2 linked regions of the Coturnix japonica genome follow. The protein of the gene in region 1 purifies or fractionates together with the protein of each later gene. This does not show direct contact. Links are inferred from orthologs where the notes say so. Each region holds a gene or a part of one and is shown on either strand. Other genes may lie near its edges.

Region 1 (7,111 bases):
AAGCCTGCTAAAGTCAACAACAGTGTATAACCAATGTTGCAAAGGATACTCATTGTACAGAAGACAGGTATCATTAATTCCTGTTGAGATCCCATTCCCTAAGGGAACTTCTACACCATCAAGGGTTGTAGTAGCTGTGGGATCAGGTGCAGTTTTACCCAAGCCTAGAAAAGGAAAAAACATTAGTTAAGAAATCTTGAAGGCAGACATCAGACTTTGCACATAAAGAAAAAGACTCAGCCAGTCACGTATTACATCCCATATACATGCTGACTAGGGAAAAATACCTTTAAGAGAACATAAAGGACATTGTCAGTTTATTCATCTCAGCACCACTGTGTTTATAGTAGTTGTACTTTGCTACATTAAAAGAGAATTTTCTCTTTTTGCTGTTAGCTTTGTCATACAGATTAGACAATTAGACAGATCAGACTATCCTTATTGCTCCCATATCTTAGCACATACACGTGTAAATTGTAACATTTTCAGGAAGTTTTAATAAATTCTTCCTATTCATTAAATTCTTCAATACAAATCCAAATTTGACATTTGTAATAGTTGGAATGCACTGAAAAAAAAAATGCTAGATTGGGTTTTAATACATTTTAGAAAACTCATTTATTAAGCCTCTCAAAATTGAGCATTCAAGAGAAGCCATTCATTACCAAACACTATCAATCTTTCCTATCTCTTTAAAGACAGTCATGATTACTATTTCTTGTGCTTGAATTAGAGAATGAAGGTTTTTTTTCACTTCTATTTTACTCTAACTTTTTGCTGCTAGAAGTGTAATGAGAACAGCAATTATATCTGAACTTTCATCCTTAGCCTTTCCCTTCTTTACACATCTCCAACACGCTTTGAAAGCTAAACAATTATTCCACTGATCTATCAAGCCTAATGCTTCTTCATACTGCATTGCTGTTGAAAGTGAGTAAGATGGTGGAGAACACACCTTACTTTGTTGTTCTCGTAATATGAAATGAAAGTCTCCTCCTGAACTTCAGGCAGCCCATTAACTTTAGTTTTCCATTTTCAAGTGTACTGACTCTCATCTCAAAACACTCTATATACATGTATTCAGATGCAATTATAATGCTACATACTATGCAAACTCTTAAGGAAACACAGCTACGAAAAGACTGTAGGTCTCTCCGCTGAGAAGAGAGACGGACATAAAGCGACTCTGCCATCAAAAACACATTGCCAAAGAAAACTTACCTTTCACACTATGTTTGCCCTTGGGCAATTTTGTTATGTGAGAAGCATTCTTCAGCTCATACCTGGATAACACAAAGAATACACAACAGTGTTTGATATTCATCTTAAAATTTCTTGGTAAAAAAAAACACAATGTTTTTTCAGGCTTCAAAATATGGTGAGTTAATTTAAATTCTATTTTTCTGAAGCTCAGCAGCCTTTATACTTCAATTCAATGACTAATTTTATTGATACCGGCATCTACAACATGATTCTAGACTTGCAGCATTTTTCTACATCACCCAACAGTTTGTCAAAAAAACACCAATGCTGTTTTTAAAGAAATACAAAGCACTCTTCTTTCAACACTGAAGAGGCTTTCAATTTTAACACAAGCTTCTATTATAATACCCTTAAGCATGTTTAGAAAATGCTCCTAATGAGCTACTTACATATTTCCAAGGGCAACTTCTCCCAGTAGTATTAACCCAATTGGATCAGCCTGAGATGTATGACAGTAGTTGGCACTCTTGGACACCATGTCTGCAAAGTAGATGCCCTTCCCAAACATGTAGCCAGTCTGCAGCAAGGGGAGGAGTGAAGTGGGAAAAGAGATTGAAAAATTCATGCAATAATATCGGTAATATAGAGACAATACCGAATCCATTTGGCTGAGCTCTCAGGAAAGCAAAGCTGCAACTCACACTCATAGACACTATACAGCAACCCACTCTGGACACTGAATGTTGTCCTTGTGCTCGGAGATAACACTGGGTCCTTCCCCAAAGAGAAATCCTACTATTCAGATTCCCTCTGACCATGACCACTTCTGAGCACAAGGATGGAGGCAGCCAGAGAATCTGTCTGTTGAACATACCACAGGAGCTTCAGGGGGAGCTATCCGGAGACCCTGTGACAGGATACCAGCAAAGTTGGTGGTGCGGGAGCCGTGCCACAGCAGCTGGCGATTATGAAGCTGCTTAAATGGCTTGTAACGCTGACTCTCTCCTTCACGTTCAATCCTGAAGATCTTCAGTTCGAAATGAGATAGAAGAAAAGGAACTATTAAGTAAATAAGCCATTATCTTCATGCAAACAATCAGGTAAATAGGTCTACCTGCTATGAAAATTGGTCTAATTGTTTTTCAGTGCTCACAGCCTGCTGTGTCATGCTCGCAAAAGAGGTAGCCTTGATCACACAGGATTGTATTAATCCTTTACTCTCTCTTCTGTATTTTTGTGAGACCACCACTTCCTGAAAAATCATCTAGGGAACTAAAACTTGATTTCAAACAACTACTTTTTAGGCAGCAAATTAAGGTGAAATTTAAAAAAAGCTTAGTCTTATCTCTGTCTAGACTTTTCTATTTAATAAAATACTAACTGGTCTATCAAAATCTGCCTTCAACAAGGGGAATAAGGTACTCAAAAATATAGTGAAGCCATAAGCAAGTAAATAGGCTGATAAAGCTAATCTGCACAAACTTAAACCCCAGTATTCCATACTTACTTCCACAACTTTGAGGTCATATGCATTGTGAGTAGCAGCATGAGTATTTTTCACATATTGTTTAATAATCTTGGCTTCTTCTGAATCTTTGTCAACCACCTGCAAAGAAGCAAATGAGAAGGTCCTCTAGAATACAAATTTCAACAAATACTCAACTAGAGAACTGCTGACAGTGGCAACAGAAAGGCACCTCTGGAAACTTACATGACTTTCAATTGCCCTGTTCAAAGCAAAGTTAACTGTAGCAGATTGCTATGCTCTGAGTCCAGTCATGCTTTGCAAAGATAGAACCCATCAGAGCTTCTCTGGGCAACTTTCACAGAAAAAAAAATTATAATCTCTCATTTCAATTTGTTCCCATTGCTTTTCATTCTATCAGCATATACTACCAAAATAAAACTAATCTGCCATGATATTCTCTATTCCCTTCCCCCACCTAATATTTATACACACTGGTAAGATACACCCAAAGCCTTCTTTCCTCCTCATTAAAAAGCCCTAGGTCTCTTAGCATCACCTTGTGCAACACATGCTCCAGCACCAAAGCCATCTTGGTGGACCTTCTTCAATGCATGTGTCCACTCTAAGCTTAGCTGATCTGTTAACACTCCAACAAGACATCAGCACACATTCCTTGTCAGTCACTCTTTTTTTTTTTTTACCTTAATATCAGTTCGGAGCTTTTCATAATTGATATCAATTGGGTCTTTATCTCCATCTTCATTTCCACCTCTGAGAAGACTGTAAGCAACCTCAATATCAAGCAAGTTGTCCAACATCTGCACTTTAGCCTGAATAATTCAAATAAGTTATTTTATCGCATCACTGATGTTCAGAATAACTATAAAATATTTCCAAATTATAAAAACATATGTGAAGCACAGGCACTGGCATTTAACAACACTGCCTTTGAAATATATGTTTATATATAATACACACGTTCATGCATATATATACACAGGTTACAACTATGTTTATGTATCTTCTGAAACTTTATATATAATCTCCATATGTAAACACACATATAAACAAACAAAAAAAATCAGATACCCTGAAAAACCCACAAGCTTAACCTCATGAAAGCAGGGAATTGAAATAATTGCTCACAATTCATGAATTTAGTGTCTGGTATCAGGCCTGTTGCCTGCAAACAACACACTATTTCTAGCAATTACCTGGATGTATTCTAAGTTACTGAGAAGAGGTGGTTTCTTCATCCCAAAGTCATGAGGGATCAGCGTATAGAAACGGTTTGAGAGGTCCAGGATCTGGGATTCCGAACCACCGTCAGAAACTGCCTATACAAGACAACAAGCAGCAAAAGAAAATTACTGAATAGGCCAGAATATGGCTCCACAGCAACAGGTGCACACAGGATACTTGAGGACAGACAAACAGAAGCAGCAATAGAAATCACTAATCCAGCAAACATACACAGCTCACCATTCACCCCATTCCAAAACACACAACAACCGAATTCCCCACTTGCTCGAACATCTCTGTCCCACTCACCTGCTGAACCTCATTAAGGATGGAGTATGCACTTTGGATCTGTCGCTTGCTCAGTTTCCCCAGTGGCATCTTCTGCAGGTCAATCTGATAAAGTTGTGAACAATTAAAACAGGATTTCACTACACTGAAACTGTTCCAGGGAACAAATCTCTCCAGATTGGTTCATACAAAGAAAAGAAACATTTCAGACTTGGTATTAATCAAGCAGTAGTATCAGAAAGACAGCTCTTGCTACAGACAAGATGTTCTATAAACAAACCAATGCAGCAACAGTAGACCACAAAACACTAGGTGTCTGACAGGGATTTTAGCATTAACCTACTGTCAGAGGTGCTCCTGAATCACTGTGGTAAGCATACATTTCAGGCTAATAATGAAGCAATATGAAAGAATTCCTGCTCATAAGATCTTATGTATAACTACACACAACCCACACACTCTCATCGAGCCCCCAGCTTTAATGCTACAATAATCAATAGTCAAATGCACAGAGGTTACAAGATACTTAATACTTCACATCCCTGTCTAAAAAAAATGAGAAACAACTAAGTCAGAATTGGTGCTTTGACTGCCCGCATTTATCTATTAACTTATTTCATTTCTTGCTGTTCCTTTTGTATTCATGGATCTTGAACGAGTTTCAGATTTGCACTAAATCTCCATATATTATTTAAAACAACCAACTGGCAGGATCTCTGCTCCTTCAATGCAAGGAGAGCTAGTACCAGACTGATCTGTAGTAGTGTGAAGGAAAGAAGAATGGATGAAAAGAGGGTATCATTAGAACAAATGAGAAATATAAAAAACAACAAATAAAATCTATAGGTTGGCCTAGTTCACAAGGAGATGTGATACAGACATTCCCTACTGTAGAACAAAGAACACACTCATGTGCATCATAACTAAGTTATTACTTCCACTGCTTGTCAAACCCTGGTCAGACTCCTGCCCTTATTCAATACTGATCTAAAACCAGCAGTGACTTCTGCAAAGTACAATACCCTGGACTGCAAAGAACTTACTTCAGGATGTGCAAGTATGATATATAGAGAATAATCGAGACACATGCACGTGTGTAGTCACCTCAAATTCCACCATGGCTTTCTTCATGCTCTCCACATCAAAAATCATCTTAATAAGGTCCTGGATTGGCTTAGCAAGCTTTGATTTAGTCCCAGCACTCACTGTCAGCTTCCTGACAGCTTCTTCATCCTGGGAAGAAAATGTAGTACCAGAATTAGTAAAATCACAAAGGAAAAGGTGACAGACTGGCTGCCATGGTAACTAATTTAAACCAATTTAATGTATGCATAATATTACTAGCCTGAAGTTCATAGGAAGCGCTGGATGCTGCTCTGACTTTGTGGAGCAAAGTGGCTTCAGAAATGTGCCTGTTCAGTAATTGGGCAGAAGTGTTTCAAGAGGCGGCATTGTAAAATAAAGGTAGAATTAAGGGAATTGAACTGTGTACATCTCTGCTTTAACTCAAGCAGCCGTATTAACTCGTTCTGCAAGGTTTAGTTGCAGAGATCATAGCACTAAAAAAAAGAATGCTTATTTCATTGTTTTATAACAACATAGAGATACAGTAATTAGTTTCGGTATGATTTTATAATAAAAATGGCCATCAGTGTGTACAGGCATCATCAGTTAGAAGCAATACTTCCTAGGAGTTTTCCTGGGTAGAGTGTTTCATCCACAAAGCATCTGCCAGATGCTTCAGTGCCATTGCACACCGCAGTATAACAGACAGTTTCCTGCTGCAATATTCAAATTTCCATTAAGAAAGCTAACCATGGACTGCTTCACACTGAAAGACGACATCCAGTAACATGGCTACAGAAAAATACAATGGCTTCAAAACCTCTGATGTCTTTATAGCTATTAGCAGCATTCAGCTATGTTACCTAAAAATAGACTAAGTTATGGGTATGTCTTTATACAAGTACATAAACTCCCACCGGGTAGAAGGGATAGAATTCCTATTTAGTATAGCTGTCTAAATAGCCAAATCCTACTGGTAACAAATATTTTCTCCTTATCAGCTTGCTCAACATACACACTGAGCACTGGGCTGCATTAAGATTCATTTTACCATTTGGGAGAATTTTGAATGCAGAAAATAGATGAAATTTTAAATAGAACAAAATGGGGAGCTTGTGAAATGACTGCTTACTTCATCTCAAATTAACTTCTGTAAGATTACACAGAGTAAACAAGAATAATTGTCCCCCCTGCAGTCTCCTTGCTGTGCTTACCATAATAATTTGTGCAGCAAAACCCCTGCACTTCATCCCTTTGTTTGTTAAAGTGTCAACGAGCACAGAAGAGTTACAGGAAAGCAGCTGAGCAATGCTCTACCTGGCATAGGGACATTTAACAGTTACCTGTCCATAATCTATTTCCAGTGGGTAGAATTTTTTGGGATATTTGGTGAAGTTCTTTGAATGCCAAGAATTGCCAGTTTTTTCTTCATACAAATTTAGGAAATGTTCAACAGCATCTTCTTTTGATGGCATCTGCTCCAGCTTGTTACTCCCAATGACAGTGCCCACACGACCCCAGGATCTGAACACCCAGTACCTAAGAAGTGAAACCCAAGAAAAAAAAGCAGATGTAAAGGTTCTGGCTCTATAGACCTCAGCCCAAATGAAACCGATTCTGCAACTGTGAATCAGCCATTTGCATGTTGTTAATTTAAGGAGACATTCTGCAAGAACGCAACAGAAGAGCCACCACAGCATCTATGTCCAATAACAGGTGTAAAGAACACCTGCTGTAAACACACCAGACGTACAGCTCTGAAGATGATTGCACACACAGCACGAGAGAAAAGGGGAAAGAAAAAAAGAGGCTATTACCACTTGAGTCAATATTTTACAAACACAC
Region 2 (7,738 bases), on another chromosome or scaffold:
ACAGCAGCTAGAAAGCTTTCTCACTCCTTTTGGGGAGCAACCAATTAGGGAATTTTACACACCAAACAAAAACTACCTTTGCCTTTGTCTCCTTGAGAGGAATGGGCTGCAAGGACAGCACGAGGCGACACAGCAGCTGCAGAGCTCTGAGAATAATTAAAAATATCTGCAAAAGATAAAATAAACCATGTGCAAAGTTTTGGTTTTTGTTGTTCTTTTGTTTGTTTGTTTTTGTTTTTTAAGGTGTATGAAAAAAAAAAAAAAAAACAAAAAAAAACCCTTGAAACTCTTTCACATCCTGGGTTCGGTCAGAAACCATTTTCATTCCTGTCTTTTACTCAGTGCTGTAGACACTGACACAGATGTGTAGCCCAGATGCTATTACATCAAAGCACTGTCTTCCCTCGTTCTTACTCATATTAGAACAGTGACAGAGGTCCTGCTGTTAACTCATAGAAGATCCATAGCCTGAAGAGTCTAAATGACTCACCCAGATCCCATTTATCCTCTACCTTCCTCTCATTCTTGAAGCAAACTGAATAAGATTTCTCTAAATCCTCCCTCCCAGAGGTTGCTAAGGCCAACTACATACCATCAACTGAACCCAGAAGAAACACCAGCTATTTATTACAGTCCCAACTGAGTGGCTAGTAGCTGTGAACTGCCACCTGCTTTCCTGCATGGGACTTAAAAGAAGCTGCCATTAGTAAGTGTCCAAAGCAAGGCTTGCATTGTCTTTACTTCCTGCCACAGGAGGCTGCTTTTTGTATTTACACAGCACGGTTGCAAAGACATCACAAGAACCACTTCCTGCTCTGCAGCACAGAAGCTGCAACATCCCAGTATATCAGCAACAGGGAAGAGCTGTAAGCCATGCACCTGCAAAGCAGCAGCTCTTTCAAATGTCCTATCAGTTTTATCTCCTCTGTTTCTTCTTCCCTCGATTGCTTTACCGAAATCTCTGTACAACTTGAAACAACTGACTCCACTTCTTGTCTTAACCCAGTTCCACCAGAGAATGACTGCAGAGCTTAAGTGTTTTCTTTCCAAACCTTGTCCTCAAGATGCACTAAATCAAAACTAAATTCTGTTGGCATCCAGTGGTTACTCTGATAATAACCAGCTACCAACCTTCTACCTCAAAGATCTGTGAAGAGTTTCTCTGGCTGCAAGTAAATCCAAGAATTTTCTTACTTAGATTAGTACTGCAGGAGAAACCTATAAACTGCTTTTCCTTGACTAAAAAGCAATATGAGGAAGCCACAGCATACTTATAAACAAGTAGTTCCATGCACTATGCAAAGGCATCCACAGAACAAAATAAACCATGCAGTGGTACCAACAAGAAGTTTCAGTTAATACAGTTCAAACTAAAGAATTTAATCACAGGATTCCATATAAAAATACAAAAAAAAAGAAGAAAACAAGGAATCGCCTTGTTTCTCCAAATTAATCCCTTAAATACCACTTTGCTCGCAAGGATCCAGCATCCAAATTCAACAACCAACCCTGCACTTCCCAGTCACTTACATGAACCAACTCTTCATCATCTCGTGCAGCATAGATGGCAAAGCGCCTCTCCAGGGTCGACTGAAGGGGCTCTCCTTTTTCAGTGGAAAGCTCATCATTGACAGTGAAGGTTCCAACAAACCTGAAATGTGAGATACCTGTTTATCGTCTACTGTCATGAATATACTCTTAAACTTCACAATTCATCCTTTCCTTCTTCACAAAAAACACTCTTGTGTTTAAATTCAAAACAATCAGTGAAGAAATGTAATTACATGTACCCCTGTCCCTATATTCTATGTGACAGTAGACTAGGAGATAGTATATTACCATTTCACCAAGTTGGAAATGTAGAGAAGATCCACTTGGCTTGCAGGAACTTTTGTGAAGTGTATGGGGATGATGGATAGACCAATTGCATGAAGATCTGGCTGGCTGCAGATCCTGTTCCTATAGAAACCATTTGCTAATAAACACAAGAGATGAACCTGAGAGAAAAAAGTTTCTATAGTGAGTTCACAAGAGATGTTCTTTGCTGGAACTACTGTCCATGGTGATGACCAGGATGCCTCTACTGCTCCTTTTGGCAGAGACAGGCAACAATGAAACCTCCCAAGCACAAAAAGGGTGGGCACAGGACTAAGTGGTGTCCCAAGGCAGTAAAGCCTTGCAGTACCTGTCCGTGTCTCCTGTTCTACATCCGACTGACAGTTTAACCCAAGTAGAACAAGCAGATGCACACCACAGAGAAACATATACCCTACTTGAATCTGCTTTCATTTAAATGTTTACTAATTCAGTGACTGACATTTCTAAGTTACAGATGAGGAGAAGGCCAATGAGCATCTGTCAGGAATACAACATTGTTATTTTTTCACTTCTAGCCACGGCCCCAAATTATTTTATTCAAAACCTACTTTCTTTTTCATTACGTATCAGTTCAGAAATCTCAAGCACAGTCTTTTCTTTTTGACCAGTACCTTATGTGTGTCCTCACGAACTTCCTTAGTGAAACGTTTAATCATTCTTCGAACATAAGTTTCAAACTCAGCTTTCCTTTTCTCTCTGCATAAGATTAAAAAATAAAAGGATATTATGGCTTCCTGTCTATCTGCCTTCCTAGATTCCTGAGCTGCTCTCTACTACCTTCCATTTTTACCTTCTCTGTCTCTTCATAAGTTGTTCCGGGGTTTCAATCTCTATCTCAACAGGATTGCTCGGCAGCACAACTTCAGGAAGAACAGCACCTTCTTCTAACTTATCTACAAGAGGCTCCTGGAGTTCTGGGAAAAAACAAACAGAATGTTACTAGATATTGAATGAACAATGAATAATACAGCAACAAATAGTCAAATTCAAAGCACTACCTTCAAAACAGCAGTTGTATGTTTCTTTCCTACTTTGGAACTATTCCAAAGTATTGCGAGATAAGAGCCTATAATCCAGATATGCACATGAAGCATACTCTTAAGTATAAGAAGTATACAAAACAAGGAATGGCTCAAAAAGGACCTGTTGCATACAAGGATGTTTACAACTAGAATAGACACGCAGTTGTTACCTTCCACGTCCTCCCATTCATCTTCACTTTCATCATCGTCATCATCATCATCAGTATTGTCTTCATCCATCTCTTTTTTAATAGGAGATTCTCTCTTCAACTTTACCTCCTTCTGAGGGGCCTTCACTGAGTCACTATTAAAATTACAAGAATGGTTTTAGCATCAGGAAGTGCATGGGTTTGTTCATTTAAAAATGGAAGGGAATGAAAACAAAAATGAGGAAATAAACAAAGCATCATCTCTGCATCAGTAACAACAGATGTAAAGGTTGTAAGTATTTGACAACTGAACCGTGTGTGTGCCTGTAAAGCGAGCAGTCTTTGCCATGAATAATTACAGGCTCGTTGAACAACAACGTTTCAGTGCAGACACAGGTCCTGGTTCTAACAGGTTGTTTGAATGAAGATGACTGAACCTAAAAACAATGACCCATCTTTCCTAACAGCTTGTATGAATGTCTTCATTGAATCATTTGTCTTTACTGAGACCTCATAATGCACTGGGATTGGAAGTGCTTGTGTTTCACTACGCTAACACCCAATGATTTGGTTGGCCAGTGAAATGAGACCAAGCAGCTTCATTCTTCTCATTAATACAATCCCCCTTGAAATCTCTACAGGAAGACCATATATCTCACAGCAATGTTTCTGTTCATGCTCGATGCCATAAAACCTCCCTAGTCTTGTGTAGAAATAAATGAAACGCTATCTTACAATTACGATATTGATTTGAAAAGGCTCAGATATTTGCTTCCCATGCAGACTGCCTTCCTCAGACAGATCCTGCCATCAGCCAGGCAGTACTTCTGTACAGCTGTGTGTCACAGACAAACTAAACTGGCCTGCCAGCTTAACGTAACCCCTTTATGTGAACATTGTAGGGCAATGGACCCTACACAACAACCACAACATCCAACCCACAACAACCACAACATCCAACCCACAACAACCACAACATCCAACCCACAGTGAGGTACAGAGCGCATCATGATGAACAACAGCTAAGCTTACCTGCACTTTTCCTCTTCGTGATCATCCCCTTTATTTTCAGGGTCTCTCTCATTTTCTTTCACTCGCCCTTTTACCCCTTTTTGTTTTGAAGGCTTCTCTGCTAACTTAGCAATTCCAGCATCACTGTCTTCCTCCTTCTTCCTAGCTGCAACTCCGGCTCTGCTCTTCTTTACACTGTGTTTTTCTTCAACAAAATCACCTACATCGAAAAGAAAGAAATTTTCTTCATGGATATAACCTCATCCCTATGGATACATAGCAATATCTCTGCAGGCTCCAGCAGAGCTGCACTGAACAACTCCAGCCCCGGCCCATCATGGGGGGCTGCTGAGCTCCATGCTGACTGCCTCCCTCCCTCAAAGCAGAGCAGCCCCAGAAGCCGAGCCTCCCACACTCACCCTCCTCACGTTCCTCCGCACCATCCCGCCGTACTCCCACCCCTCCAGGCCGCCTTTTGCCGGCAGACACCCGCTGAACCGACGCTTTGCGCTTCCTCGCCATAGCGGCGAGCATTACCCCGCCCCTTCAGAGCGGGGGGAAGAGGCCGGGCCATAAAGTATCACGAGAGAGAGCGAGAAGCGGTTTGAAAGATGGCGGACGAGGTGGATCAGGTGAATGGCTCTTTACTTTTCTTAGGGGGGAGCGGTGTTTCTGCGGCCACCCCGGCTGCCAAGTGAGGTGGTGAGGGCCTGAAGAGAGAGCTGGTGGGTTGGTGGCACATCCGTGTGCCTTCCCTTTGCCATATGCCGTGCTGCCGTGTTGGTTTGAGCCATGCAGCCTGTCTGCTTCTGTGTGGATACTGGGACTTGAGGGAGCGTTTCAGAATGCAAACTGAGGAGTGGAGGAGTTCGTATTCACTGCTCCTGCGTGAATAACTGCTTGTTTCGGTGTTGTTTTCAGCAACAGACAACGAATACCGTCGAGGAGCCCCTCGACCTCATCAGGCTCAGTCTGGATGAGAGGATCTATGTGAAGATGAGGAATGACAGAGAGCTCAGAGGCAGGCTGCATGTGAGTGCCAATTCCAAGCAGGCAGCAGGCTGTGCTGTTATGTGCAACTATTTGTTATGTTACTGTAATGTGCTCAACAGCAGCGCTTGGTTTGTGCAGTGTTCTGCCAGAGATTCAAAAGGTGCATTTTGTTTTTCCGTGTCTGTTGTCTTTTAAATGATTCCAAGTGATTCGTTCTCTTGATTTTTGCTTTTATTCCCATGTCTGTGGACTAAGTAATAATGCAGGCATCATCTCATAAAGGACTCTCGACTCTGTTAAGATGGAAATAAGTATATCAAGCAACTGTCTTGTAGAGCAAACCCAAGGACTGCTGGGATGTGTACTCAGCTGGGTTCTCTCCATACTTGATTTGTTCTTTGTTTTCTTTTGAGAGCGATGTCTCTTAGTGAGACAAACTTTTGTTTTCTGTTTGGTTGTGTTATCCTTCTGGAATGTGGTGCTGTGCTGAGGAAGGGAACCAGTTTCCCATGTGGTAACTGGGCCTCAAATACATTTGAGAACAAAAAGGTGAGGACAGATCTGTGATGCACTGGTATAATTCCTAAGTTCCCTTTGTAGGGTGTTTGGAACAAGTGCTTAATTAAAATTTATGTATTGTTGTTTGAGTTACAGCTCTCATAGCTATAGATAATCCAATCCCAGAAATCTGGGCTGATAGCAAATAATATTTAGTTGGATTAATGCTAACGACAAGAACAAGTGTGTCCACCTCTGAGAGTTTGTGCATGAGCTTCAGAAGGAGAGTTTCAGTGAGTATAAGAGCCTTCCTTATGCTGTGGAGTACTGATGTTGGCCTTTATAGTTGAAGTTACAGCTGATACATCATGTTCACACATGGAACATCTTGACCCAAATCAGGTTAAAATAATTTTGTTTGAGTGTCTTGCTAGAATTATGGATTTAATGAGCTTGTGCTTGAATTTTGGAAGAAGTAATGAACTTTGTTCCTACAGGCATATGATCAGCACTTAAATATGATTCTGGGCGATGTGGAAGAAACTGTAACAACAATAGAGATTGACGAAGAAACATACGAAGAGATTTATAAAGTAAGGACTTCAGTGTATTTACCTCCATAGAAAACTTCTTGCAATCTAGATTGTCATGTTGTCAAAATAATGTGTTGATAACTGCACCTTTTGGACTAGGATCTAGCAGGTGTTTTAGGCAAATTGTTATGAAAGCACAAAGGACATCCAGGTGCTTGTTGATTTTGATATCTTCAGCAGGACGCGAAGTTGCATGTTTGAGCTGATGTTTGTTGGTGTTTTTTTAGGATTGAATTTTGTCACATGCTTAGTAGATGTGTTCTGTATACTTCTCTTTTGTAAATGTAATCTTTTCTTTGCTTCTTCATAGTCTACCAAAAGGAATATTCCGATGCTCTTTGTCAGAGGTGACGGCGTTGTGCTTGTAGCTCCCCCGCTGAGGGTTGGCTGAAGCAACCAAGGATTGAACCTTCTTGGAAGGTTTCAGGCTCTTGGACGATTTGTTTTGATCATGTCTCAGAATTGCATACACTTTTTAATAGAACGTTTTTGCCTATTTTTTGTGGAAGAGGAATGAGTTTTTCTTGCAGAAAGTACCTGTCAGCTGAAGCAGTGTGAAAACCTCATTTTCCCCTGAATTAATGTAACTGCTGTAAATGAGCTGTGTGTGACATAAGTAAAAGCACCCTGTTTTTTCAATCTTGGGAATAGCAGTGTCTTTTTTTGTTTGTTTTAAATAAATTTGGTTTACCTTTCAGATTTGATGTGTTATGTTTTTGTTGAAAAGGTGATTTTAATGAACTTCTCTAGTGCTAATGCTGTATTAAGTTGTGATAATGTGGCTTTGCTTCCTGAGAAAGCAGTGACTTGTTTGGTGTTTTGATTTTTGTCCATACTGAAGTTTTCCAGATTGATGTTTTGGAGGAGGGCAACACTGTGTTGGTCTATGGTGTACTAATCTATGGTTTTATGTAAACATATCCTTGTAGGAGAGAAATTCTGTGTCCTGCTTAAAATGCATTGATAGAATAGAATTTTTACAGCTTTTTCAGATGCTTCTCTTGCAGCTTTGTTAGCAGAGCAAAGCTTAGCAATACCATCAGTAGGAAACAAATTTAGTAGCCTGATTTATGCATTCATTTGCCACCATTTGTAGCCATTTTCAGTTCTTGAACACATTAAATTCTGTAGAAAACCAAAGATGCTTCCTGGTTATCAGTGGGTGCACAAGAGCCTTGTACACTGCTTTTTTTAATACATAGTTTCTCAGGCCTTCCTGATTGCACTTTATTCTCATGGTGGGGCTGGAAGGGGAATGAATGTTTTACTTGGAATGGCTATGGAATGTTTTACGAGTATATTTGAAAGGCATATTATAGACATAGACTTGGGCATTTCTTGACATACCTTAACACACAGCTTTATGAACTTGCCTGGGTTCTTACGCGTATTCAGTCATCAAAAGCAGCTTGCTTTGACACTGTCCTCCAGTTAAAATCTTCCTATCTTACCATGTCTAGTTTGTGGCAAGGGTGAAAAATGCAAGGTGGTAACTTTTTTTTTTTTTTAAAAGTAATAACTTGTTTTGGCAATAAAATAGATACCCTTCAAACTCTGGTCTCTAGGTGTCCTTTGTTCTCACAACTGCTCTCTA

The links. Proteins that work in one complex are often made in the same cells at the same time.
Region 2: the proteins of PARP1 (region 1) and XPC purify together in Homo sapiens (affinity purification with mass spectrometry; 4 studies listed by BioGRID and IntAct, counting the BioPlex papers as one, with this or other methods). This does not show direct contact. The link is inferred for Coturnix japonica from reciprocal best matches to the Homo sapiens genes PARP1 and XPC.

What each region holds. Positions count from the first base shown.
Region 1 is NC_029518.1:14,828,586-14,835,696, reverse strand, and holds part of PARP1 (poly [ADP-ribose] polymerase 1), read right to left. Parts: intron 6,806-7,111; coding exon 6,610-6,805; intron 5,435-6,609; coding exon 5,306-5,434; intron 4,307-5,305; coding exon 4,223-4,306; intron 4,009-4,222; coding exon 3,886-4,008; intron 3,502-3,885; coding exon 3,373-3,501; intron 2,810-3,372; coding exon 2,711-2,809; intron 2,231-2,710; coding exon 2,078-2,230; intron 1,781-2,077; coding exon 1,653-1,780; intron 1,284-1,652; coding exon 1,222-1,283; intron 165-1,221; coding exon 50-164; intron 1-49. UniProt on the Homo sapiens protein: Poly-ADP-ribosyltransferase that mediates poly-ADP-ribosylation of proteins and plays a key role in DNA repair.
Region 2 is NC_029527.1:8,364,060-8,371,797, forward strand, and holds the start of XPC (DNA repair protein complementing XP-C cells), read right to left. Parts: upstream 4,619-7,738; 5' UTR 4,595-4,618; coding exon 4,480-4,594; intron 4,281-4,479; coding exon 4,082-4,280; intron 3,205-4,081; coding exon 3,071-3,204; intron 2,793-3,070; coding exon 2,669-2,792; intron 2,575-2,668; coding exon 2,490-2,574; intron 1,998-2,489; coding exon 1,840-1,997; intron 1,652-1,839; coding exon 1,531-1,651; intron 167-1,530; coding exon 77-166; intron 1-76. Other genes in the region: U6 snRNA-associated Sm-like protein LSm3, read left to right, coding at 4,672-4,692, 4,982-5,092, 6,049-6,144, 6,455-6,535. UniProt on the Homo sapiens protein: Involved in global genome nucleotide excision repair (GG-NER) by acting as damage sensing and DNA-binding factor component of the XPC complex. Has only a low DNA repair activity by itself which is stimulated by RAD23B and RAD23A.